Xenopus tropicalis: one gene and its partners. The main gene of each other region encodes a partner of the protein of the gene in region 7 in a complex. Links are inferred from orthologs where the notes say so. Each region holds a gene or a part of one and is shown on either strand. Other genes may lie near its edges. The genes, in order: hat1, chd4, eed, cdk2ap2, chd5, cdk2ap1 and rbbp7.

What was found.
Region 1: rbbp7 (region 7) and hat1 share a complex: the UniProt entries of both Homo sapiens proteins name them as parts of the type B histone acetyltransferase (HAT) complex. The link is inferred for Xenopus tropicalis from reciprocal best matches to the Homo sapiens genes RBBP7 and HAT1.
Region 2: rbbp7 (region 7) and chd4 share a complex: the UniProt entries of both Homo sapiens proteins name them as parts of the nucleosome remodeling and deacetylase (NuRD) repressor complex. The link is inferred for Xenopus tropicalis from reciprocal best matches to the Homo sapiens genes RBBP7 and CHD4.
Region 3: rbbp7 (region 7) and eed share a complex: the UniProt entries of both Homo sapiens proteins name them as parts of the PRC2/EED-EZH2 complex. The link is inferred for Xenopus tropicalis from reciprocal best matches to the Homo sapiens genes RBBP7 and EED.
Region 4: rbbp7 (region 7) and cdk2ap2 share a complex: the UniProt entries of both Homo sapiens proteins name them as parts of the nucleosome remodeling and deacetylase (NuRD) repressor complex. The link is inferred for Xenopus tropicalis from reciprocal best matches to the Homo sapiens genes RBBP7 and CDK2AP2.
Region 5: rbbp7 (region 7) and chd5 share a complex: the UniProt entries of both Homo sapiens proteins name them as parts of the nucleosome remodeling and deacetylase (NuRD) repressor complex. The link is inferred for Xenopus tropicalis from reciprocal best matches to the Homo sapiens genes RBBP7 and CHD5.
Region 6: rbbp7 (region 7) and cdk2ap1 share a complex: the UniProt entries of both Homo sapiens proteins name them as parts of the nucleosome remodeling and deacetylase (NuRD) repressor complex. The link is inferred for Xenopus tropicalis from reciprocal best matches to the Homo sapiens genes RBBP7 and CDK2AP1.

Annotation. Positions count from the first base shown.
Region 1 is NC_030685.2:67,598,447-67,602,453, forward strand, and holds the start of hat1 (histone acetyltransferase type B catalytic subunit), read right to left. Parts: upstream 2,801-4,007; 5' UTR 2,744-2,800; coding exon 2,683-2,743; intron 657-2,682; coding exon 585-656; intron 1-584. UniProt on the Homo sapiens protein: Histone acetyltransferase that plays a role in different biological processes including cell cycle progression, glucose metabolism, histone production or DNA damage repair. Coordinates histone production and acetylation via H4 promoter binding.
Region 2 is NC_030683.2:10,084,815-10,088,833, forward strand, and holds the start of chd4 (chromodomain-helicase-DNA-binding protein 4), read right to left. Parts: upstream 2,801-4,019; 5' UTR 2,723-2,800; intron 1,374-2,722; 5' UTR 1,271-1,373; coding exon 1,192-1,270; intron 1-1,191. UniProt on the Homo sapiens protein: ATP-dependent chromatin-remodeling factor that binds and distorts nucleosomal DNA. Acts as a component of the histone deacetylase NuRD complex which participates in the remodeling of chromatin.
Region 3 is NC_030678.2:168,816,792-168,820,291, forward strand, and holds part of eed (polycomb protein eed), read right to left. Parts: intron 2,414-3,500; coding exon 2,321-2,413; intron 819-2,320; coding exon 753-818; intron 25-752; coding exon 1-24. UniProt on the Homo sapiens protein: Polycomb group (PcG) protein. Component of the PRC2/EED-EZH2 complex, which methylates 'Lys-9' and 'Lys-27' of histone H3, leading to transcriptional repression of the affected target gene.
Region 4 is NC_030683.2:59,556,217-59,560,341, reverse strand, and holds the start of cdk2ap2 (cyclin-dependent kinase 2-associated protein 2), read right to left. Parts: upstream 2,801-4,125; 5' UTR 2,774-2,800; intron 2,661-2,773; 5' UTR 2,560-2,660; coding exon 2,499-2,559; exon of another isoform or gene 2,482-2,498; intron 1-2,481. UniProt on the Homo sapiens protein: Acts as a component of the histone deacetylase NuRD complex which participates in the remodeling of chromatin.
Region 5 is NC_030683.2:98,649,840-98,653,827, forward strand, and holds the start of chd5 (chromodomain-helicase-DNA-binding protein 5), read right to left. Parts: upstream 2,801-3,988; 5' UTR 2,502-2,800; coding exon 2,438-2,501; intron 1-2,437. UniProt on the Homo sapiens protein: ATP-dependent chromatin-remodeling factor that binds DNA through histones and regulates gene transcription. May specifically recognize and bind trimethylated 'Lys-27' (H3K27me3) and non-methylated 'Lys-4' of histone H3.
Region 6 is NC_030677.2:161,142,306-161,144,852, forward strand, and holds part of cdk2ap1 (cyclin-dependent kinase 2-associated protein 1), read left to right. Parts: intron 1-1,416; coding exon 1,417-1,543; intron 1,544-2,547. UniProt on the Homo sapiens protein: Inhibitor of cyclin-dependent kinase CDK2. Also acts as a component of the histone deacetylase NuRD complex which participates in the remodeling of chromatin.
Region 7 is NC_030678.2:94,690,838-94,695,040, forward strand, and holds the start of rbbp7 (histone-binding protein RBBP7), read right to left. Parts: upstream 2,801-4,203; 5' UTR 2,706-2,800; coding exon 2,690-2,705; intron 793-2,689; coding exon 648-792; intron 1-647. UniProt on the Homo sapiens protein: Core histone-binding subunit that may target chromatin remodeling factors, histone acetyltransferases and histone deacetylases to their histone substrates in a manner that is regulated by nucleosomal DNA.

The DNA of each region.
Region 1 (4,007 bases), on a different chromosome or scaffold from region 7:
AGGAAAAGACGAGCAACACGCTTTTTAAAAATCGCAGTGACTATATATCCCTGTGGGACATTAGCCTAAGTGTTTGGATTTTACTTTCCAAGATCTGATTTTACTCAACTGTGTGTGTTGCAGGGGAACCTCAGGGGATTCTAGGGACAGGAGGCAAGATCGTGGCTTAGCGCTCAAAAGAATAGTACCCCCCTTTTTTTTAGTTAGACCCGCTGAAAATTATAAGTAGATTGCAAATTTGCTGCATTCAAGTGTTTTTAATTGGTTTAATTTTATACTTGAGTTTTTTAATAAATCAGTACAAATTTGTTTGGTTAATGTTTTCATATTTTTTTCTATTTTGAAAAAACGAATTTTGATAATTAGGCTTTATTGTATCAAAAAAATAGCTAGTTGTTATTGTTTTAGGAATTTCACTGATATTAAAATGGCAATATATTCTGCCTGTTTCATAATGTTTTATACATTTTCACCAGAACATCCCAGTTAAAGGGAGCAAAACCATTCTAAATAAAATCTAATTTTACACTCCATAAAGTGTATATTAAAGTCAAGTTAAGGTAATAAACTGCATGATAACATACCTAATTTTAGCTTTATTGCTTCATTTGTGTCACATTTGTACTCGGCTAATTTCTTTTCCATAGCAGAGAGACCTAAAGAATAAGCAAGCAATAATTAGGGCAGCCAGTTAATAATTTTAGATAAATATGTATATTTGCACTTATGTATGATTAGATGCAGTCAAAATATCTAAAAACTCATAAAACTAATTGTGGGTTTGCAGACATTTTACCATCGCCCAACAATGTAAAAGCACTTTCCTATTTCAACACTTAGGGGCTGATTTACTAACCCACGAATCCGACCCGAATTGGAAAAGTTCCGACTTGAAAACGAACTGTTTGCGATTTTTTCGTATGTTTTGCGATTTTTTCGGATTCTTTACGAATTTTTCGTTACCAATACGATTTTTGCGTAAAAACGCGAGTTTTTCGTATCCATTACGAAAGTTGCGTAAAAAGTTGCGCATTTTTCGTAGCGTTAAAACTTACGCATTTTTCGTAGCGGTAAAACTTAACGCTACGAAAAATGCGCAACTTTTCGCGTAAGTTTTAACGCTACGCAAAATGCGCAACTTTTTACGCAACTTTCGTAATGGATAGGAAAACTCGCGTTTTTACGCAAAAATCGTATTGGATCCGAAAAATTCGTAAAGAATCCGAAAAAATCGCAAAACATACGAAAAAATCGCAAAGTACCGATCATTACGAAAAAAACGCAATCGGACTCCATTCGACCCGTTCGTGGGTAAGTAAATCAGCCCCTTAGGGGCAGATTTATGAAAATGTGAGTTTAAAGCTAAATACATAAGAACTCACCCACGTTCTATTCATTCCTATGGGATTTTTAGAAGAGTATTTATCAAATGGTGAACTCTAACTTCCACTCATTGATAAATGCACTTTTAAAAGTCCCATAAGAATGAACAGAACATGGGTGTTTATGTATTAAGCCCTAAACTCACTTCTTGACAACCAAGGGGAGCCCGGATTTTAAAGTTATCAAGGTAAATAATTCTACTTTAAAGTCTTACATATACATACATAACAATCAAACTATAACTAACAGTCAAACACGCAAGAGCCTGTAAAATTATTGCCTCTTCCATTTCATTTTGTCATGTTTCATAAAGCAAAACACTTGAGTTGGCATATTAAATAAACATTTAAAAAATAAAATGTCCCCAAGGGACAAAATGTAATCATTATATTTAAGTCAATGCTTACTATAAAAAAAATAATGGGATTGTAATATTTTTATTTTTGTAGAGTTGTTATGTATTGCTATGAAAGTGGGTACAATAAATTAGGGCTTAACCCCATACAATGTTAGTAATATACAGGACACTCGCTCCCTACACTGAAGGTGATGTCTATTGTGAACCAGAGGGGTCTTAATTGGAAAGAACATTGACCGAAAAATTAGAGTGGGTTTATAAGAAAGCCAAAAGCCCAACAACAGTTTGAGATCTCAGTATAAGTATGATCCCAATGGTGGCAAAATAAATATATATATTCGCCGGTGGGATGGCATATGAGGCGCCACAATTTCCCGAAGTCGCCTTGAGAGGAAACTTAGGCAAATCGCGGCGCCGCGTATGCCACCCTACCTGCGACTTACATTGTAGCCGGTGGGATGGAATTGCGGGGAGATTAGTCGCGGTGCAAATAATCTCCGTGTGTCACGGCCCATACTCTGCTAAAAAAAATATTTAAACAGTAATTAAACCCAATAGGATTGTTTTGGCTCCAATAAGGATTTATTATATCTAAGTTGAGATCAAGTACAAGGTACTGTTTTATTATTACAGAGAAAAAGGAAATCATTTTTTAAAAATGTGAATTATTTGGTTAAAATGGGTGTATGGGAGATGATTTTTCCATAATTCGGAACTTTCTGGATAATGGGCTTCCGGATAAGGGGTCCGATAACTGTACTCCAAGAATGTATATAATTCTGTATGGGACATTTGGCAGACATTTGCTTTCTTTGGTCAAACTTACATCAAGCAAATAAATTAGATTTGATTTGCTATAGGTTGCTTTACTTGTGCCTACTATTCACAACTATTCCTGTAAATCAAGCATATAATGTACTGTATATATTTGTAGTATGTACCTAAAAGGCTATCTGGTAATCTGGTTCTTTCTGTTTGGGCCTTGTACTCTTCATTTGCCATCTGACTTTACAGTACTTCCTGGTTGTTAGGCGTATCAGTTGAAATTTCAAGTTTGACAGCTGCAGGACAAATAATTTAAATAATTCAATAACCACAACAAAAAAAGAGAAGATAAATTTCAAACTGTGAGGAATAGAGACTTATACAGACAAAGGAGTTTCTATGTTTTTATTGTAAACTTGAAAAAAAAAAAAGCAGGACATTACGTCTCTCTTACTGATATTATTATCCCTTTCAGCTGATGAAAGACAATGATAATAATTCTACAAACTTTTCAGTGAAATAAATGGAAAATGCCACTCACTGTACATGAAAAATTGCTTGCCCAAAGCTATACAACATCAGTAACTGTATATAATATAATAATGCAACAGGTGTCTATATTTCCTTCCTACCATACCATCATTTCTTCAAGGAAGTTACGTTTTACAAAGTTAACATGTGTAATGCACAAATTGATATTTCTCTGTTGCAGTTGCTATCCAATGGAGTACCAATTGGTGATGTGCTGGCTGACCAGCACCCAACCTGGGGAGTCAGTAGTATTTGTAGGTATGAGTCCAACCCTGCCCATCTCTGACGTCATGAAGGGAGAAAGTTCCAAATTACGGAAAGGCCATTTTCTATAGACTCCCATTTTAAGCAAATAATTAAATTTTTTATAAATGATTGACTTTTTCTCTGTAATAATAAAACAGTACATTGTAGTTGATCCCAACTAAGATATAATTAATTCTTATTGGAGGCAAAACAATCCTACCGGGTTTATTCCCAAGGTATGGACATCCAAATTACAGAAAGATTCCTTATCTGGAAAACCCCAGATCCCGAACATTCTGGATAACAGGTCCCATATCTTCAGAGAACACAGTGACCTGTTTAACTTATAATAAGCAAAAGCCTAAAGGACCATAACTAGAAATGCTGTATTTTGTACACTGATCTTACTGTATAGGTATGGGATCCCTTATCCGGAAACCCATTATCCAGAAAGCCCGTCTCCCATAGACTCCATTTTAATCAAATAACTCAGAATTTTAAAACTGATTTCCTTTTTCTCTGTAGTAATAAAACAATACCATGTAATTGATCCCAACTAAGATATATATATATAATCCTTATTAGGTGCAAAACAATCCTACTGGGTTTAATTAATTGTTTATTGTTTTTTTTAGTAGACTTATGGTATGGAGATCCAAGTTATGGAAAGACCCCTTATATGGAATACCCTTGGTCCCGAGCATTCTGGATAACGGGTCCTATA
Region 2 (4,019 bases), on a different chromosome or scaffold from region 7:
GACAACTGCAGGAAGTGGCTCCCCTTCCTCGCCAGCCTGCCGGCAACTACACGGGAAGCCACTTTGCTTCTGGGGACACTGTTTACACTTTACATGCTTTCCACAGACCCAGAATCCGGCATTTCCAACACACACCATAGCCAATAAATACAGAACATGCCACCATCTGTTTATATGGCCAGCATAGGTGTGAGACCAATCCCCAATCCAGGGCACAGAGGTCAGTATTTATAATGGATAACCCCATACGACCAGAGCCGCAACACTGGCTGGATCCCTAGGAACAACAGTCATTTCCAGGGGCCATTTACCTGCTTTGTGGTTTAGGGCAGACAGCTACCATGGGGAAGGGGGGGGGGGGTATGCCAACAGTCACCCCCCCCAGCACTATCTGCATTGCCCTTTCAAGCTCTGCTATTTTAAAAACACTTTCACAGAATTAAAGAAATTTGTTATTGTAAATAATAAAAACAAATAAACGGAGGCTGGAAGGTCCGGAGAGAACCATAACCAGTACTCTTAAAGGGTTTACAAAGGGCCCCAAGGAACCCACAAGGCAGAGCTATGTGCACAAATCCAGGCATCAAGTCCTTAAAGGGCCAGAAGCGCCAGAAACTGATGCAGGCCCACAAACACTCATTTTGCTTAACAACTCAATACTTCATTCCCTTTGTGACACCCAAATGTATACATAAATGGCGTCATACTGGAACCCAGAGAGCCAGTACAATGTACACACCCTGAAGCAAAACAATGCCTGGGCTGAGCCCACAACTGCCTAAATGCACCTTTACAAAGAGCACTCTATACAGTATTAGCCAGTAGACATCTGACAGCCAATCAGTTCAGGCCACAGACCATACCAAAAAGGGGTTAACAAGCAGTTACCCATATGCCCAGGAGGCCTAGACCTGAGTCCCTAACATCAGTCCCAAAGATGATGGAACACAGGAAATAGTATAAATAAATTGCCATATTGAACCCGGCGTCCAGAACCAGCCAGGTCACTGTGGGCTCTGTCCCAATGGAAGGCCTACACATTGTTATATATACAACCCATGCAAATTCAACACTGGCTACTAGAGCCACACACCAACCTACAACACACACTATGGGAAATCAATACAGACACCTCCTTTCCCACTTATAAAACAGGCACGACACACACGGGTCCGTTTCCGGTTCTTTTACCTTGATGGATGCTGCTGTTGAGCATCACTTCAATTTCACCGTCGCTGCCGGGCGAAGAAGGTCCCAGACTGGAGGCCATGTCCAAGACGGAGCAAAATGGCACCAGGGGGTGAGAAGTAGCAGCAGAGAACAGCAGGCGATGTTTGAGGTGGGGGGCTCACTGTTTGGCACTGGACAGGGTGCTGTGAGGAGAGACACATGGGTAAGTACAAGCTTATTTTATTCACAGAACTATATATAAACCCATAGGCCCAAATGTGCCATCAGTACAGGCCCGGTATCTGCTCCAGTGGCACTAGGCTACTGAGAAGCCATGCTGGCCAGGTAATGTGTGGTGGCACAGAAACAGCCGACGTCACAATTAGGAGGGGATGCAATTAGCAAAGGCCTCACATCATACAGCAGCACAGGGACGGGGAAGGACAAAGGACACATTAAATAAGCACAAGCTTGTAGTTCAACTACATCCCTCCAGTTGCCAAGGGACGCTGCTTTGTTTCTATAGGCCAGAAGCACGGATCTACGAGTGGCTATGAGAATGCACACAGACTCACGCCATTGTGCTCAGTATCACAGAGCCGGACACAGCTCCCATGGGCCATACATCCCCTGGGGCAACACGGAATGGATCCAGCTTGCCAAGCGCCAGAATGGGTCACACGAGTTCCAGATGGTATATCCCAGAGGATATATATTACACAGGGGGCTTGCAGCCACTACACATGGTACAGAGACACTGGCTAATACTGGGGCTACAGACCTATGTGGGGCATAGACTTGTATGGGCTACTGGCCCCAAGTGGCCACTGCGGCTACACAGGACTATGAAAAGGTTCCAGAAGGGCCACAATCCTGATGGTATAGGGGGGGGGGGGTAGATCATGGTACAGTATAAGGAGGGGGGGCACAGGCCAGGGGTCCATGGGCCCGGTACTGAAGGTACTGAACCCATAAGGGGGGACACACATGGGCCGGTACCAGGCCAGTACCGAGTGGGGAACACATGGGTTAATAACAGAATGAAATGGACTAATATGAGGCTGGTAGTGAGGGGGAGGGGAGGGCTGGTAATGAAGGGGGGCAGTACTGAGAGGATCCATCTGGGTCAGTACCAGGCCGGTACCGAGGGGGGCACACCGGGTCAGTACCAGGCCGGTACCGAGGGGGGCACACCGGGTCAGTACCAGGCCGGTACCGAGGGGGGCACACCGGGTCAGTATCAGGCCGGTACCGAGGGGGGCACACCGGGTCAGGTCCCGGCAGAACACAATAGAAAGGCAGGGGACGCAGTTGTGGCTCCATGAGGCGGCACTTGGGGGGCCGGAAGTTGGGAGTACCCGGCGGACTGCCGGAGGGACACCCCATGTCACCCACTCCCCCCCCCCTCCGGCCGCTGCGGGGAATAGACACCCCGGAACTAAGCCTGACAGAACCCCCCGCCGGACACACAATCCCGGTAAGTTCGTGAAGGAGCCCGTAGCCCTCCCGAGCCGGGCCAGCCGCCTCTCCCCCCCCAGAGCCCCTCACATACCCGCTCCACATGCGCTGCCTCCAGCCGGTGCCTCTCCCGCTCCTTTCTCCCCGACACACCGGCAGTGATGGTAAAAATCCCGCCCCTTCCCTTGCCCCCGCCCAGTTACCATAGCAACCAGCGCGTTGCCGGGGAGATGGGCGGCCCCCGACATCCCATAATAACACGAGAGAGCCTGCCATCCCATAATACTCCATCTGGCATCCCATAATAACATGAGTGAGATTGACATCCCATAATACCTCCCGGCATCCCATAATAACACCCAGGGAGCCTGACATCCCATAATAACCAACTTCTGCCATCCCATAATAACCTAAGGGTGCCTGACATCCCATAATATGTCCTGCTGACATGCCATAGAGACAAGAGACACAGACTGACATCCCATAATAGTCACACTGGCATCCCAGAGTAAGTAACATTACCCTCAGCATCCCATAATAAGTCCTTCCTATCAGAGTACCTCTCCACATTGTCAGGTGGTTCCAAATACAGGGTTCCTATGGCCCTGGACTAATAGCTTCTCTCCAGGGTAACACTGATATACCTGGGCAACCTCCTGTATGGGCCCCATAATATCTGTGGCCCTATAATAACTGGAGGCCTTCATAATGTTTTGCTTCTAAAATATACCCTAAATAGCATCCGGTCATCTGTGGCACACAATTCTGGCTACATCTGTTCCTTGTATCCCGATAATGGAGTCCTGTAATAATAAAGTACCTTATATATACGTGCAAGTAACTTTATACTACTTACTACTACTAGGGATAAATCTCAGTATGCCTTCAGCTTCAGTGACAACTCCCTGCCTTGGCCACTAAAGTACCTTATATATATGTGTGCAAGTAACTTTATACTACTTACTACTGCTAGGGATAAATCTCTGTATGCCTTCAGCTTCTAACTTGGCTACTATAAATGTGCTACCGGTAGTAAGTTTATACTATCTACTACCAGGAATAAATCTCAGTATCCCTCAGCATCAGTAACTAAAATGGTTACTGAAATACCTCATAAATGTGCCATTAACATTATAACAGGATCCTCTGAGGCCAGAGGCAGACATCATGGTACTAACTAGCAAGGCCAGGCTAATATTCAAGATAGGCCCTGGCAAGTAACACAGAGGCCCAAACAGCCCCCCCACAAGCGCAATAGATAGTGACTGTCTTTTGGCATGTTATAGTAGCCCCTCTAGCATTTGTCAGAATCTGCAGATTGCCAGTCCAGGCCAGCTAACTAAGTATAAATCACTCAGTAACTTCTAAATTGGCTATTAAAGTACCTCATA
Region 3 (3,500 bases), about 74 Mb from region 7:
GCAAGTATAAAAGTTCTCATCTGCCTGAATGTAAGAATTAAGGAGAGAAAAAGCTGTACATGGAATCCGTCGCAGTCCCAGACCCAAGGGCGGAGAGGCACCCCAGTTCATGACACCCACAATTCCCCACTGATAGATAATGTCTGAATCATTAAATTAATTGCTCTTACTGACTATTAGCACACTCCCAGTTAACATGAGGGGTCACAAATACCCAGGTTAAAGATTAGGGATGCACCAAATCCACTATTTTGGGATATGGCCGAACCCTGAATCCATCATAAAAGATTTGGCTAAATAACGAACCCTAATTGGAATATACAAATAAGGCTGTGGAATGGTTAAAGAGAACCATATGCAAAGTACGAGGTGAAAATGTTTCAACTTCCGTGTTTATGTGACAAAAAGGTCATGTGACTTAAAGGATTCTGTTGGGCCAGGTCCATGGACTCAGCTGAATCCTGCTGAAAAAGGCCAAATCCCGAACCAAATCCTGGATTTAATCCTGCAGCGCCGGGTTCCTAGGCTCCTCTGCAAAGAGTCTGTATGTTCTCCCCGAGTTTGTGTGGCTTTTTCTGGGTACCCTGTTTTCCTCCCACACCCAAATACATACAGCCAGGTAACCTGGCTTCTGAAACAACTAGTGTGTGTGTGTGTGTGAATGTGATTGGGAACCTAGATTGTAACCGTGAACAACAATTAACTGCAAATTCCAAATATTTTCAGCAAAAAGCAAAACTCGTCAAGGATACGTCGGCGTCCACATAGGACTGCAGCAGTCGGATTTCCCCCTGTGGGTGGCATTCATATAACGTTACCTATGTGAGAAAAACAAACATTCTTAGAACAGAGGGGCCACGGATATGCATAGCGATATCTCGCAGAAATATACAGAAAGCCGGAACACCTTATAATATATAATAGTATATATAGTATATAATAGTAGCAATGTCCTAAATGTCCCTGCCGGAAGCACAGTAAAAGGGGGAGAGCCAATCACAGCCCAGCAGTCACACAAGCAAAGGAAGGCTCCAGTTCCCTATCAGGTCAGCCTAGCTGCTGATTGGTTCCTATCCTACAGTGCAGTGTGCTGAGTGCCACTGGCCCCCCTGCACAGCCCGGGAAAGAAGGCAGCAGGAAGTGGAACAGATGGGCGGGACTAGTGGGGTTTTTGTTGAAATTTCTAATAAATCAGCCCTAAACAGTACATTTGAAAACACATTCCTTCTATGAGTCCAATTCATATTGTTTTTCACACACTATGTCCCCTTTACATCAAAATTTCAAATGAGAAAAACATCCCAATGGACTTGCATTCTGCAACACCATTTCAAAAAGTAGTGTGCCTAGGTGCAATTATATCATCAATAACCAACGCAGACCAAATATTAATGAATAGAAAGCAGGAAAATACAAGGCATCAATTACCAACACGACTGCTGCATTGCACCGGGGCAATAACCCATAGTTTGAAGGGGAGGGATTCCTTTGTTTCACTAGAATGATCTAAGGAAATATCCTTAGATCATTCTAGTGGAACGAAGGAATCCCTCCCCTTCAAACAAAACAGGGATTGTTACTCCATATATAGCAATATATTTAGGCTGGCCAACTACATCAAATATGAATTGTGTGGTCACAGCCTCATTGCACCCCCGCCTAATGGTTTAAAATGCAGTGTTGAGCACAACTTTCCCTTTGTTGCCTCCTAACTAGAAATTCAAAAATAAGCACCAGCTTTGAGGCCACTGGGAGCAACATCCAAGGGGTTGGGGAGCAACATGGTGCTAACGACCCACTGGTTGGGGATCACTGCCCTAGAGCAATAGCTGCAAAAAGCCTCATTAACATTTTTATAAACAAGTTTTTACCTTATACTTGCATTATTAAATCTTTATGTAAAGGAACAGTAATGCCTCCCAGGCAAATTTTTCGTTTTGGCCTCTTTAATCACTTTATTGACACTCCATAAAACTATACATATTTGGCATTGGCACATTCATGAATCATGCAGATTTCGAAATCAGTTTTATTCAGTAAATAGTATCAGTATTTTCACATATAGAACATTTTAGTGATATATCCCTATATAAACACATCTTATGCAAACTGGCAACATCTATTTTTTTTTTTTTAGACCCATAAGAAGTGGAATTAAACAAAACAATTAGAAAGTCCAGGTTCTATAAAAAAAAATAGATGTATAGTTTTACTAGGCAAACTAATTCCCCTTAAGTGAAATGACTGGCAAATGAAAGGGAAACCCTGCCCCAGCTGCCCCCTCATTGTAAATAGCTTGCCATCACATTCCCATACATACCCTGTTACTTCCAACAGTAGCGAAAACCAGCGGGTCTCCCTCCTTACTGTGCCAGTTAAACTGAACCCCAAACAGTGGCTGATTGTGATCTTCCTGCAGGAATGGAAAAAAAAAAACACCATTGCATAATAAGCACAAATTGATTTTGTGGCTGAATAATCTAATGCAACAGAAATTTTCCACCCACTTTACACTAGGAAAAAGAAATGTAAATAAGAGGATTAATCAGCTTGCTAAATAACCTGCTTCAATTTAAAGAAACAGTGACCCCAAAAAATGAAAGTGTATAAAAGTAATTAGAATATAATGTATTGGTAACAACTGGGGTGTTTGGCTCTTAAACCCTACTATAGTTTATATAACCAAAGCTGCTGTGTAGCCCCAGGGGCAGCCATTCAAAGGAGAGAAGGCACAGGTTAGAGAGCTTATCAGTTATCTGCTATGTAACCTGTGCCTTTTCTCCTATTTTCCAGCACGAATGGCTGCCCCCGGAGCTACACAGCGGGGTATTTATATAAACTATAGTAGGGTTTCTGTAGCAAACACCCCAGCTGTACCAGTGCAGGAATGGCTGCCCCCGGGGCTACACAGCGGGGTATTTATATAAACTATAGTAGGGTTTCTGTAGCAAACACCCCAGCTGTACCAGTGCAGGAATGGCTGCCCCCGGGGCTACACAGCGGGGTATTTATATAAACTATAGTAGGGTTTCTGTAGCAAACACCCCAGCTGTACCAGTGCAGGAATGGCTGCCCCCGGGGCTACACAGCGGGGTATTTATATAAACTATAGTAGGGTTTCTGTAGCAAACACCCCAGCTGTACCAGTGCAGGAATGGCTGCCCCCGGGGCTACACAGCGGGGTATTTATATAAACTATAGTAGGGTTTCTGTAGCAAACACCCCAGCTGTACCAGTGCAGGAATGGCTGCCCCCGGGGCTACACAGCGGGGTATTTATATAAACTATAGTAGGGTTTCTGTAGCAAACACCCCAGCTGTACCAGTGCAGGAATGGCTGCCCCCGGGGCTACATAGCGGGGTATTTATATAAACTATAGTAGGGTTTCTGTAGCAAACACCCCAGCTGTACCAGTGCAGGAATGGCTGCCCCCGGGGCTACACAGCGGGGTATTTATATAAACTATAGTAGGGTTTCTGTAGCAAACACCCCAGCTGTAC
Region 4 (4,125 bases), on a different chromosome or scaffold from region 7:
ATAAAACCCCAATTGAAAGCAAAAAAAAAAGGTAAAACCTATTATTTATTTCTCTCATTAAATCGCTGACAAATCTTACTTAAATCATATTCTTTTTCGAGGCCATGGGGCATTAACATCTCCAACCTAGGTATCCTTCTTGCTTCTTTTTCCAGTAAAATTCTCATTCTATTTTTTTTGGGGGGGGGGGGGCATTATCAATGATCAGGAATTTTAACTGTTGCACCTCATGGCCTGTAGTGAGAAAATAAGAGACAGCTTGATTTTTTTTAGTATTAATAGATAGAGAATTTTACTGAATAAAGAAGCAAGATGGATACGTAGTTTGGAGACATTAATGCCCCATGACCTCAATAGAGAATTTGATATAAAGGAGAAGGAAAGGCTAATAAAGAGTTCATCTCAAGATGCAGGTATATCTTCAGTTCTCTCAATAGTGCCCTTAGGTCTCCCCATATTTCTCCGGTTCAGATGATCAGAAGCCTCATAGGAAAAAAAAAAAAAACAACTCCGAGCTCTGTAAAGAAAGTTTCCATAATGCCTCGCTCCTGCACCAAGACCAAGACACTGTACATGATCAGTTTGTAAGACTATGAGGAATCTTCCTGCTGATTGGCTCAGATCACACATTCCTAAGAAGGGGAAGGAGTTCTTAGCATTCTTGAGGGGGGGGGGGAGCAGGAAAGGGGGAGAGAGCTGCCTGTCTCTGGCAGAGAAAAACAAGGAGACAACAAATCCTGTTTCTTTTGACAGAGAACTCAATGCAGCGTTTCTGTGAGTGCTTATGGCTGTATTTACATAGATCTTTCTGATAAAGCTTACTTAGTTTTTACCTTTCCTTCTCCTTTAAGATTTATCTGTGATTTAATGAGAAAAATAAATTATGGGTTTTAAATTTTTGCTTTTAATTGGGGTTTTATGTATCTGTTTTTGTTGCAGGTTGCTTATTTTAAGGATGATGGGGATGGCTTAATGCACAAAAAGCCTCTGAAAGTAAAAATGTTTAAAATATAACAAATGGTAGTTATGTAGTTTGAAATGGAAATATTTCACAATGAATGGTTTGTAATTTACCAATTTTACCAATAGTCACTGTATCACACTATAAAAATGTACGGATATTAGCTGTTTCAGTAGCTTGATAAAACACCAGTGTTGGTCTGAAACATTGCTGTGGGTCAGAACCCTTTTTTCAATAAGGGCTTTTAAGGAGATATTGCAGTGGTGGTGCAGTCTATTACAAGGATGCTAAAATATAAATACATACATACAAGTCCTATTCACTGAACTCAAGTTAAACAAGGAGGTACACTGCCTCTTTAAATGCCAATCACAAGCAAATGCAGGTGGACTTGTCAGACAATTGTTGATAGGGCGGCTCAATTTCTTTGATTTTAGGCCAGATAAATACCCATCTCGATCGGGCAGGTTTAATTTTTCAGTTGGATCAGGGACTGGATCGGCTCGCTGATGCAGTCCCTGAACCAATGGCACCTATGCCCGCCATAGGTGGGCATATCAGAAGATCCACTTGCTTAACAACCTTGCAAAATTAGCAGATCTTACAGTGTATGGACACCTTAAAGGACATGGACTTAATCCCTAAAATTCAGACCAATTCGGCAACGTATCTGCCTGCATCGGTTCATTGATGAAGTCCTCGCCCTGATGGCCTGTATCCTGCTGTTGATCAAATCGTTTGGCCACCTTAGTTGGGCATATCAGTGAAAAAACTGCTTGGATTTTATAATGTATATAAATTATAAATATTATAAAAAATAAATGTATATATATTTTATAATGTATCTTAAAGATAAATCTTAACACTAATAAAACAGTTAAATGCAATAGATTTTTAAAGCTGAAGTAAAATTGAGAAATCCAACCAAGCAACAATAAGTAAATGCTGGCAAAGCCTAAAAGTATGCTTGATATTCTAGAGATTCAGCAGATACAATTGAATTAAAGCAAACAAAAGTCTTGCAGCATTAGAAAAATGGCACACACAGCAATTCTAAGTACAAATTAGAAATAGTCCTTACCCTCAGTGCTGCCACAATCAATTTACCAGTTAGTAAGCAGCGCTAACAGGTAATAATATATTAAAAAATAAATTGTTATATCCTTTTTTGATATACATAGCAATTTCAGGCTTTATTCAGCCAAACTTGTAGTACTGTAAAATGCAAATGTAGAGATCTAAAAGTTGCACACAGGTAATATCTTAAAAATTACTTTCACTGCATTTTCATGTTATTACAACAGTGTACGCAAGTAAACTGTCTCAGACACAGCAATTTCCTTTTATGTGGACATCAACGTATTTTCAGGTGCTGTGTCATTGCCCTTGGGGGTCTGGTGACTATCCCTGCAACACCTACAGGTCCCGACAATTGCCACAGAGCGCCAAAATACCAATAATCTGTAGTCGTGCCATTTACCTTTAAAGAAAACTTTAAAAAAAAAATGTTATAAACCAACCTATATTACTCTGTTACCTGGAGTGCCAGGGGCACTATTACTCCCAGAAGGCGCAGGGGCGATGGGCTTATACGACATGCTTTAACTACTACGCTCACCCTTCGACTTTAGACACCTTACTACCGAGACGTGCCTCTTCCGCAAGGCCGGATTACCCACTAGGCGACCTAGTAAAAAAACTGTCAAAAACCAGTAAATTAACGAACGGAGCCCGGATGTGATGTATCATTTTTTAAAGAAGATAGAAATCCTCAGGCCCTTGGGCTCAAATTCTGCTGACAAAGCAACCTACCATTCGCTTGCTTTGCCTCTGCGTCCTGCGGGGTACTACATCCTGTATTCAAGGACCATATACGTAGGTACGTGCGTCTGACGGAGTGGATGCGGAAGGGGTGAACAATTGCACGCACAGAGTCTGTAGGCGCGACATAAAACTGGTTGCGTCGTCTGCTGTTGGCTTGTGTATGGGGTTCAACACGTTACTGCAGTATTTGTTGGATGAGTTTAAAAAGGGCGATGTTGGGAAGCTAGTCAAAAGTGCTTTGGGTACATAGTAATTTAGTTAGCTGTAAGAGAGAAATTAATAACAATTCGTTTGTTGAATAAATAGTAGCTGCTCCAATGTTTCTGTTTTGTGGTCTTTTTTGTTTGCCACAAGAAATTTTTTACTCCCAAGCATGTTGGTGTAGTTGTTCTCCAGAACCCTTATATCGATGCAAAGATAAGTGTTTAAAAGAAAAACAATATATAGTTTAGTATATTTTATTAACTGACTCCTGATCATATATTTAAATTGTTCATTTAGTTATAAAATGAAGTGCAAAGTGTATATGAGTGAACAGTTTCAACTTTAAAAATGAAAATGCAAATACAGGTATGGCATACCTCCCAAATATTCCGATTTTCGAGGGACAGTCCCTTTTGACAGCTTAACCCGCAGTCCTGAATTCTTACTGGAAAAGTCCTTCATTTCCCTTTGATCTCCTGCACTGAAGCTAAAAAAGATACAAATTTAATTAAGTGTGCTTTTGGCAGAGAGTAGGTCTCTTGGGGGATCTGAGATTTGCAGCTTAAAAGACAATTTTAGCTTTTTCAACAAAACTAATAACACATAAAACAGGACCCCAAAACCTCCAGAAATGTGTTCAACCTTTAAATAACCTGCCAAATTAGTCAAATGGTAGTGGTATTTAGGGGGTGTGGTTTCAAAAATGGGCATAGTCAAAAAAATTTGCCCCTCTTTCTGTTTTCAAAATGTTGAGAGGTATGGTATGGGACCTATTATCCAGAATGGGATTGTTCTGTAATTTGGATCTCCATACCTTAAGTCTGCTAAAAAATCATTTGAATAATGAATAAACCCAATAGGATTGTTTTGCCTCCAATAAGGATTGATTCTATCTTAGTTGGGATCAAGTACGTCGTTCTGTTTTATTATTAAAGAGAAAAAGGAAATCATTTTCAAAAATTAGAATTATTTGATTATTAATGGGGTCTATGGGAGACAGCCATTCCGTAATTTGGAAATAACAGATCCCATACCTGTAGCAGAACATTCATTTATCTAGTTTTCACATAATAAAGTGCAGAAAAACTAAGTTCAACAACACCTTGTTTGTTTATATCTGCTATAGTGAGCAATTA
Region 5 (3,988 bases), on a different chromosome or scaffold from region 7:
TCCCTGGTGACCTATAATATCCTTATTATGCACAGTAGGGGATACTTTGTCCATTTTATCTTGTCTTACTTCCAAGCCTATGCCAGGGAGAGTGAATACATGAACAGTCAGTGTTAGAGCACAAAGCACAGCTGGGTTCCTAACAAGCTAATATAGACATGTTCTATAAAATACTGCTCTAATATCAGGACACCTATGAAGGTCATAAAGGTATTGTGAGAAAAAAATGTTTCTCCAGAAAAAGCTAATTCTGAGCTATTTTGGGAAACCTATTCATTTACTTATCCTCATGCCAATTAGAGAACTTTGTATAATTTGTTGTTTATATAGGTATGGGATCATATAAACAGAACATTCTGAATACAGGTCCCATACCTGTACAGTAATATTATTGGTTAATTGCTATGGCACTGGTAATGACAATACAAACTATAAAGATCTTGGTAAAAAGTAGGAAAATGCTTTTTTTCTGGGATAATTAATATATGAAGGACATGATAATGGGAACAAAGGCTATTGTCATTTTTGTATTCTTTAAAAGTAAAAGCCTCCCTTTTTCAATCTCAAAATCAACTAGTTGAGAAAATGAGACAGACATTACGTGACTAACAAACAACCCCCCTCCCAGCACCGTGACGTCACAATAGAATTGCTTTATACCAATAAAATTATAGAGGGGAGAGGCCACTGACAGAGGAACAATGTCAAACAATATAGTATAGTGGGATGCTTAAGGTTTTCTTGCAGTTTTTCCTGGGATTTAATATTTTTTTAAATAGATATTTATACAACATTGAAATTTGTTTTCTGAAGACAGGTGACCCTTAAGGTAGATAAGTTGTAAAATGCCAACTGTCATGTGTTTTTCAAGTTTAGTGTCAAAATATGCTCAGTGACATATAAAATGAGTCTAAATCAGTCCTTTGCATCGCTTATCCAACTTATCTGAACTATGTCATTTTGCTCTGACTAGTTGGATTAAAGTACACCTCGTTCAACTCTATGAACAGAGTTGTGAACAGACATTTATCTGCCTGTTCACACAATGCAATCAAATCTGAGTCAAATGGACCGGAAGCATAGGGCAACTTGTTTCCAGACCACCATACCACCAATTCCTATGTAGATTTCACATAAAGCACATTTTCATGCCATGAGCTGAATCTGGATTACAGCCAAATGATTAAAACACATCTCTTTTAAATCTGGATCAGGCTGTACTACATCAAAATCAAGATGTGCAACTGTGCAGTTTGAGCTGAATCTCATTCACCGCTAGGCACAATCAGAAGCACACAGTAGGATATAGTTCTCTAAAGTGAATGGAGCTGGAGTTCCTGGATGAAGTTCTCCCTTGCTATTTCCCAACAGGACTGGCATTAACAGTGACAGATCCCAATGCCGCCTTCCAGTGCTGAATACATTTTTTATTCTACGCACATGGAAGAACCTGGGCGTGGTTATGTTGGGCAATTAGAACCTCTTTATGTCCAAAACATTACAACAAGGAAAGGGAAGAAAATAAAAACACTTGTCCCTTTGCTGTCTAAAAAAGTATTGCCAATATTCTTTGGGAACAGTGTCCTGTTGCTGCCAACCTAGCACTCCAAATCGATTTCGGACCACGATTTTGTATTATTATTATCCAAGTAAAAGTAGTACACTTTCCTACACTTGATAATAAAGTAACAGGGGCCAAAAATGAAAAGATTTGTTCCAATCATGACATAATATTACAACCATGTTCCAGAAAGGTACCTAGGTTATACAGAAATGATATATCTGTAACAGTTAGATTTTAGCATTATATGAGAAGACAAGTTGTTAGTAAAGTAGGACTTGCAGAGGGATCAGATGGCAGCAATGTGTAGGTTAAATATGACAGGCTGCACCAATACATGCCCAAGCAGCCGCTGAGTGCATAAATAATGTGCTTACAGTCAAATAAAACAAAGCACATCACAGCCATTTTCTCTGCTGCCGATCCATGCAAAGGTTCAGCAATGCAAAGAATAAAAAAGGAAAGGAAGCACAAGAAGCAAAGGGACGGCGCCGGTATTAAGAAATAAATGCTGCCAATATACATGCCTCTCTATGGCTTCCTATTGGGTTTGGTGTGTAATAAGCTCCCTGGTGACTTGTCCCCGGTGGCCATGAATACTAACAGACAATCTTTGTCTTGCTTCCTCGCCCTCCTGCACGGGATTGGAGAGGCGCAAAACTTTAAAACGACAAAGCAATCCTTTATTAACAAAACGAGAGATTTGCCGGTTTCGGTTCCCTCCCTTCATGTCTTGTGCAGCCCCAGTGTAAGGGGCTCTGTTTCCCTCCCCGGCTGGGACCCACCGGCCGCAGCACCTTGCCCTGAGATCCCTGTAATCCTCCTAACAATCTCCATTCAACACTTGGCCCCTCACTCGCTCATTATTCAGCCTACCTGACATCTCTTCATTCTCCATTTCTTCTATCGGGTCCTCTTCAATCCCCAGCGGACCCCGCATATCCCACCTCCTCCTCCCCAGATCAATTTCAGTTTCTTTCGCAATCTGGATCCCAAAAAGGCTTGAGATATTAACCCATAGGGGTGCAGAGGTGCTCCAGCCGCCACTGCCTACCGCTGACTGGAGGTACAAAAGGGTGAGGTTTATTTTTAAGAAAGATGGCTGCCTAGTTTTTTTTTTTTTAAGAAAAGAAAATATCCCCCTTGTCTCTCTCCCTCTCTCTGCCTAAATCCCCCAGCCTGAAAATAAAAGAGAGAAGGAGAGAGCGAAAAAGAGAGAGAGACAAAAATGGAATACACATGCCCAGAATGTGACGTCCAGTCTGGTTACCGTGGCAACTACATCCCATAATTTTGGCAGAACTAGTTAGTCGTGATGCCAGAGGAGACCAAGTCCAGTACTAGTTAGAGAAGGAAGAAGCGTTCGAGAAGAGGATGGCAGGGCTTTGCCAGGGGGGCTGCGAGGGGTGCAAGTTTGTGACTGAGAATAAATGTTAATAATAAGAAGATTTATTTTGCTTGCTGTTGCCACAGGGAAATGAACTTGTGCTCCTTCAGGCTGCAAAGTCGGATGGAAAGTGAATAAATGAATGCCTCACTATACACACAGTGCTGAAGGTACTCAGACTTCTCAAGTTCAGGCAAAGTTGAAAAGTGCTGAGCAAAAAAAAAATCCTTCCTTGCACAGGATTCTAACTGCCTTGTACTTCCCTCTTGGTTCTGAGGAGGATGGCTGCCTGCCTGCATGGCTGCTTCTACTTGTGCAAATTCAAATTAGACTGAAGGTTTTCATCTTTTGGTGTGGCACAGATAGCAGAATTCTTTTTTTGCAACTGGTTTTCATTTTTTGTGGCTTTTAAATTATTTACATTTTTTTTGGTCTGCAGGTCTAATGCTAAGAAGTTAAATCATCTCTGCTTGCTTAGGGTTATTTACCCCCAGGGGCATATTTTTATAAGCACCTGTGGGTATGTGCCTGGGGTAGCAGCTTCAGAGGTATGGCCCTTGTGGGTTTATTTAAAAAAAAATTACCTCCCCAAGCCTGTGCCAAATGAAAGGGACTCCCAAGACAAGACTGCATTCATTTGCCCCTCCAGGCTTGTTGCCACCCCCCTAAGCCTCCTCTGCTCGTCACCATCATGTGCTGCTCCAACCTCAGCAGCCAGTCGGCACACTGACTTCTTGTAAATTTACAGAAATCCAAAATAAGAATGGGTTGGCAGTTGTGGTATGCGCCTAGTAGTGATGTGCAGGCAGGCCCAAAACTCATGGGTTTACCCAACACCCAAATATTCTTTCTAGTCGTTTTGGCCAAACTCTGCTATCTTCCCACCCAGCCCCTAACTTTACTATGACTCACTTCCGTATCTGGTATGTTGTATTTATTGTCTTGCACCTGCTCCTGCCCTAAGTGAAGTCCTCACTAGGCCTAGTGCACCCCCCTCCCTCCCCCCCCGCCCCGTTGCACCTTAGGTACATGCATTTTCT
Region 6 (2,547 bases), on a different chromosome or scaffold from region 7:
CCGGCGACTGCTCTTGTTGCCAATGGAAAGCGGGTGACTGAACCGCCATGTCGGTTCTTACCCTAAACGTGTTTCCTAGCCCTGCTGTATTTATTTGAATTAGGGTGATCGGGCACCATTTCCCTTAATAGCTCTCAATGCTATCTCTTCTCTTAACCAGAAGTCAGCAATTGTTGACAGCATTATAGTGAGCTTTGTCAGTTGTGAATATAAATTTATGTCAGCTGGAATAGGAAGAGAAACATCAATTAACAATGCAGATGCTATTATGAATTGTGGTCCCAGAAGCTGCTTTTACTTCCGGTTTAAAGCAGAAACAAACCTACAAACATTTTTACTCTGCCTGGTTCCTGATTTCTAAAAATGATTTTGGGGAAAGCAAATAAAAAAACAAAGGGCAGTAGAGGGAACTTTACAGGCTGTAGAGTGAGTTTACAAAACAATACCTCTCCCTTTCATACTTCTTCTTGCCTTCCTGTATTATTTGCTTTTTAGCACAGGTTTTCAAGAGAGCAATATCTCCGGGAATATCATCTTAAACCAACAAATGTATTTTTATTTTACTTGTAATATTGGTGTGTAGGCAGCCATCTCAGTGCATTGTGTGAGTCTAAGCTTTCAGAAAGAGCCAGAGCTTCATATTAGAACTGCATTCAGGAAAACTATTGTTTCTCTTACTCCCATGTAACTGGAGGAGTCCCAAGCCAGATTTCTCAAGGTCCCCATACACGGGCCGATTCTAGCTGCCGATATCGGTCCCTTAGACGATTCGGCAGTTAATCGGCCCATGTATGGGCACTACCGACGGGCCTGCCCGACCAATATCAGGAGTCGGGTGCTATAGCCCCGAGTCTCACACTTAAATCAGATCTAAATCAGATGTGTAGACACGAAAAGGTTTGTAGGTGGGGGATATCGGGAGAAGATCCGTTCGCTTGGCAACATTGCCAAACGAGGGAGGGGTGTGATATCACTCCAGCTCAGCAGTAAAGTGTGACTGAAGCACAGGTCACATGGCTGTGGCACCCTGGAAAATAAAGAATATGGCTAGCCCCATGTGAAATTTCAAAATTAAATATAAAAAGACAGCCCTTAAAAACCAGGAACATGCATGGGTGGGGCTTTTTATCCAATATAAAAATAGGAGCATGGATATAACGCCTAATTCAAAGCTTTATTAATGTAACATGGGAGGAAGGTAAGAATAAAGTTTGGAGATGTGAGGAGATCCAAGGATTTCTTTCACTTCTGCTCAGATATGCTCTTTAGAGACATCAGGCTTGTGAACAAAGCAGTGCTATTTAGCCAACAGTGTGAATGACCAGTTGAATATCGGTTTATTTGCTTGTGCATAACACCCATTAATGACTAGTGGGTTGTTTTTTACTTGACCACATCTGGAATCTTTTATTGTAGGTTTCTAATAGTAACCAGGTACCTCAGAGCAAGTATGCAGAGCTTCTTGCCATAATTGAAGAGCTGGGTAAAGAAATTAGACCAACATATGCTGGCAGTAAAAGTGCTATGGAGAGACTTAAAAGAGGTAAGAATAATATATTTTCCATGTCATTTATATTTCGTTGTTTTCTTATTAAATAACAATGAAAGATTAGTTATCTGGGGGGTTGATTTGTTGGGTATGTCCAGAGAACCTTATTTGTAAGCTTGGAACCAGGGCTAGCATTTCTCTTTGCAAAGAGATGCACCAGCTCAGGGGACTTGTCAGTAGAACGCTGTGGTATCATCCTTGTCTATATTGCCAGTGCTGGACCAGAGCACATTTTACCAGGCCATTGCATCTTCTTCCAAAAAAAAAACAAAACGCTACGCTGTAAACAAAAACACTTGTTCAAAGTCCTCCTCACAGTAAAAAGTCATGCATCATATCATGATGTGCTTATTGTTTATGATGGGAATACTATTTTTATCATCTAAGACAGTGCTGTCCAACTTCTGTTGTACCGAGGGCCAGAATTTTTCCGACCTACGTAGTGGAGGGCCGATAATGGAAGCCAGTTTTGACCACTCCCCTTTTTGAAACTGCACCCACTTGAAACCACACCCATGTTATCACATGACCATACCCATATTAATGGTTGTAGTACAGCAAAAACCTGCCATACTCTGCCTGCCCTACCCTGCCTTTGTGTGTGCCATACTCTGCCTTCCCTACCCTGCCTGTGTGTGCCATATTCTGCCTTCCCTACCCTGCCTGTGTGTGCCATACTCTGCCCGCCCTACCCTGCCTGTGTGTGCCATTCTCTGCCTGCCCTACCCTGCCTGTGTGTGCCATACTCTGCCTTCCCTACCCTGCCTGTGTGTGCCATACTCTGCCTGCCCTACCCTGCCTGTGTTTGCCATACTCTGCCTGCCCTACCCTGCCTGTGTGTGCCATACTCTGCCTTCCCTACCCTGCCTGTGTGTGCCATACTCTGCCTGCCCTACCCTGCCTGCGTGTGCCATACTTTCACTGTGTGTGCCATTCTTGGCTGGTTTGTGCCAAACTTGGCCTGTGTGTGCCATACTCTGCCTTCCCTACCCTGCCTG
Region 7 (4,203 bases):
GCAAATTTAGTACTGGAATTAAGATATAAGTATTGTGGTACGGATACTGTTCACTTAATAAATATGTGCAAATGTAATTTGCTTCTTGTTGCGCTTTGTATACAGTATACACAGTACACATAGACAAGATGAAAAATGTTAATACAATTAAGCCCCTAAAAATTTAATGTTAGATATTTGGCCCACTTTGCTGAAAATAAGCACTGATCTAGAAAATAAAATTTAAAGGCAGCGGCAATCTGTTAAGTATGATATAGATTTTTTAATCTTAGATACTACCCACAGCTCCTTAGGTAATTTAATAATGTTGAAATCCAAAAAAATAGGAAAAAAGCTTCAGCAGGATAAAGGGTATTGACCCGAAACATGTCGTGTTACCACAACCCAAAATAACTGGTTTGCAGTAAACCTGCTGAAGTTTTTTTCCTATTTTTTGCATTTCTACAATTGTATTTGGTTGCAGCACAGAGCAACAACTAGGAACTAAAGTTTTTTTTCACAAGTATTTTATACAAAGTTCATCAATCATTTTTTATTTTCAATTTACTTATGTTGTATTTAAAATGCAATAGGTGTTAACCATGCTTTAAATATCATGTAAAACAACTAAAATTTGCTATTAAATGAATTTAAAAATAAAAAATCACCTAGTCACATCCGGGAGCCACTGAACTGTTAGACTTGGCCATTCAAGTGCATGGGTCATAACCAGGTCATACAGAAATGGGGTATTTTTTTTCCATATCTTATACTCTTCATTGATGACACGTTCTTCCACTGTATCTTCAAACACTAGAGAGAAAAAAAAATTATAAAATGTTTCAGAATAGAATGCATTACTGTTTGAATTCAGTAAAAACCATTAAATTGCTTAGTCAGGTCAAACAGACGTACAAAAACTTGGCTGTTAACAAACCTCTCAGCACTGATTGCTTGTAAACATTTACATGCTGCATAAGGTGTGCATGTATAACTAGGCAGCCAATGTATTGTTGTTGAACCAGAGTTGCTTCAATGTAAACATCAGATAATTTATTAAGTAAACTTAATCCAACATCATTTGAGTGACATATTTTCCCCACTGTGCTCTACCAGAAATAAGAACTACACAGCATAGTATAGTAAGTTGGGTTGAAAAAAGACATACGTCCATCACGTTCAACCATAATGCCTATATATAACCTGCCAAACTACTAGCTGATCCAGAGGAAGGCAAAAAAACCCCATCTGAAGCCTCTCTGAATACACAGACGGAACAGCTACACCAAGTGGAGTAGGTGGCACCGGTGATTAACTAGCATGGTTGGAAGAAAGCAGCATTGGTTTGCTGGGCAGACCCAGATCTATAGGATGCACCATAACATCAGTCAGTGCCCATATAGCCAGTGTCCAGCAAGACACACCGCAAGTTCATTATCCCTTTAACAAAAAGATAAAGTGATTATTGGAACACTTATCACAACATTCATCAGTATCAGCTGGCATTTATCTACCTGTACTGTAACCATAGGAGAACCCTGTACAGGTATGGGATCTATTATTATTAACACTTATTTATAAAGCGCCAACATATTCTGCAGCACTGTACAATAAGTGGGTTTCATACATTGGACATACAGAGTAACATATAAAGCAATAAATAACCAATACAAGAGGTGAAGAGAGCATAATAATAATATAATTATTCCTTATTGGATGCAAGACAATCCTATTGGGATTATTTAATATTTTACTGATTGTTTTAGTAGACAAAGTATGGAGATCCAAAATACTTAAAGATCCTTTATCCAGAATACCCTTGGTACCAAGCATTTTGGATAACTGTACTGTGTTCTCTATTTTGAGATGCTGATCATCTGACACTAGCCCAAGCCCTGTGCATGTTTAACAGTTATGGGCCCTCAAGGAAGAGCCACAGCACCTCAAAAACCTATCTGCCTGCTTATGAGGCACACTTGCCCCTGTAGGCGCAGAAACTTCTACAACTTCAGGCACAAGGAACACATTTCTAATGATTCCATACAAAAAAAAAACTTGCCCGATACCTTACTCATTAGTAAATCACTCAAAAGAACAGGAGGATTTAATGTAAGGAAATGTTTAAAGATGGAATAGGTGTGTGCAGCCTGTGAAGAATTCTACCAGTTTCACCAGACACCAGACAAGCGTATCTGATGCCGTCTGGCCTGTCAGACCAAAGTTACACATGCCATACATTTATTGTGGTGCAAGTAAGAAAGCTCTGGTTCTGTTTCCCAAGAAAGATCAGTCCAACTTTACACAAGGCAATACCTACATTTCTAAATGTGTTTTAACTTAAAATTCTCATCACTTTGTCGATCCCCCATCTTACATTTTTTAATACTGCCTGGCAACTGGCTTGTAGTGGAACTAAATGTAGCGACTTACAGTGCCAAACTATAAACTCCCTCTTCTAATTGAGGGCCCAGAGCCTTACAGGCCAGCAATAGGGACCGTAGCCAGCAAGCCTACGCGGTAGGATAAGGCCTAAGAGAATCCGGTATGCCTCCCATACACACCACAAGCGGTGCAGTAAACAAAGCGGCCACAGCTTCTTAATATAAAACTGTGTCATAATCGGTAGCACCCGGATAGCATGCCTGCATCCCCAGTACCGTCCCTTTAGAAACCCAAAACGTGCTCATAAAGCAGCTTTCTGCCCACTTACTCTCTTTATTCGCCATCTTCTCTACTCCTGTGCAGATGCAAGGGCCGCCGGCCTCGCGGTGACTAAAAACCCAGTGTTCCGCGCTTGTGCCGGTCCTGCTGCAGCTTCCCGCGCCAAACACTCACAAGAAGAAGAAAGACTACCAGTGACGCAGCATCAACATCCCCCGCCAAAGTTACAGACAGGCACGCCGCCGCCGTCGCCTTCGCTTACGCAAGGGCTAGCGCCAAACGCTAGGACAAGGCTGACCAATCAGAGGAAAATAACCTGGTTACGTAAAAGGAGGCGGGGAGGCCGAAAGTTTCGCGGCCATGTTTAATTTTGGCATGGCGTAAAGTAGTAGCGTGTTTTTTTTTCCTAATGTGCGGAGTGAATTGTAATAATTTTAGGTAGTTATTCTGTAGGAAGTATGAACCTATTATACCGATAACATTTGTTTTAAGTAGGAACCTTCCCGTTCTCAAGCAGTGGAGCAGCATTCATTAGGGAAATGTAGAAGATAGAGTTTTCAAAAGCTTGAGCCGAAGGGATGCGGGAGCTTCGTGATCGTTAGAATTGCTATCTTCCACTATCAGAACGAAATGTATTCAGTGCCGCAGACCTCGGGGTTTAACAGCTTAGCCTACAAAATTGGCAGTGGATAGGGTTGCGATTAATAGGAAAGAGGAAAACTCAATTGGTGTTGTGTTCTGGAAAACGTAGATATAGCAGGATAGCCTGGATGGGCTAGGGTGCAAATCTCTTCTGGAAGTAAAAGCCCACCTTCGTAATGCTTGTTTTAAATGTCATTTTTTACTGGTTTGCTACCCTAAGCATACCTCCCAACATTTGAAAAATGAAAAGAGGGACAAAAAGACTTGGAGGCAATTTTGACCCCGCCCATTTTTGTTGCCACGCCCCAATTACCACACCCCATTTTAAAAAGAAATACTCCTTTTATATAGATGAAATGGTGGGATCAGACGCAAATGTGCTATACCCTCATACTGTACTACCTAAGGAAAACAATATAGCAACTCCAACATTAAAATACAAATATAGAGAGAAGGCAATCAGTTATAAGTGAGTTATAACTATGTAGCAGTTTTGCTTCCCCATACACAGGTGTCCCCCGTACACAGTAGCTCCCTCATACACAGTCCCTCCATACACAGTAGCCCCCCATAAACAGTGCCCCCTATACACAGTAGCCCCCCCATACACAGTAACCCCCCATAAAGAGTGCCCCCGTACACAGCAGCCCCCCATACACAGCAGCCCCCCCATACACAGTACCCCCCCATACACAGTGCCCCCTATACACAGTAGCCCCCCCATACACAGTGCCCCCTATACATAGTAGCCCCCCATACACAGTACCCCATAGGCGCTCTGTCTTCGTCTACGACTTCTCTCCTTATGCGGCGGTGCCAGGCCCTTTTATAAGGTTGCACCCCGTGCGTAATGACATCACACGTACGCACGGTGCGCAACCTTATAAAAGGGCCTGTCGCGCTGTGTCAGGAGCCGCATAA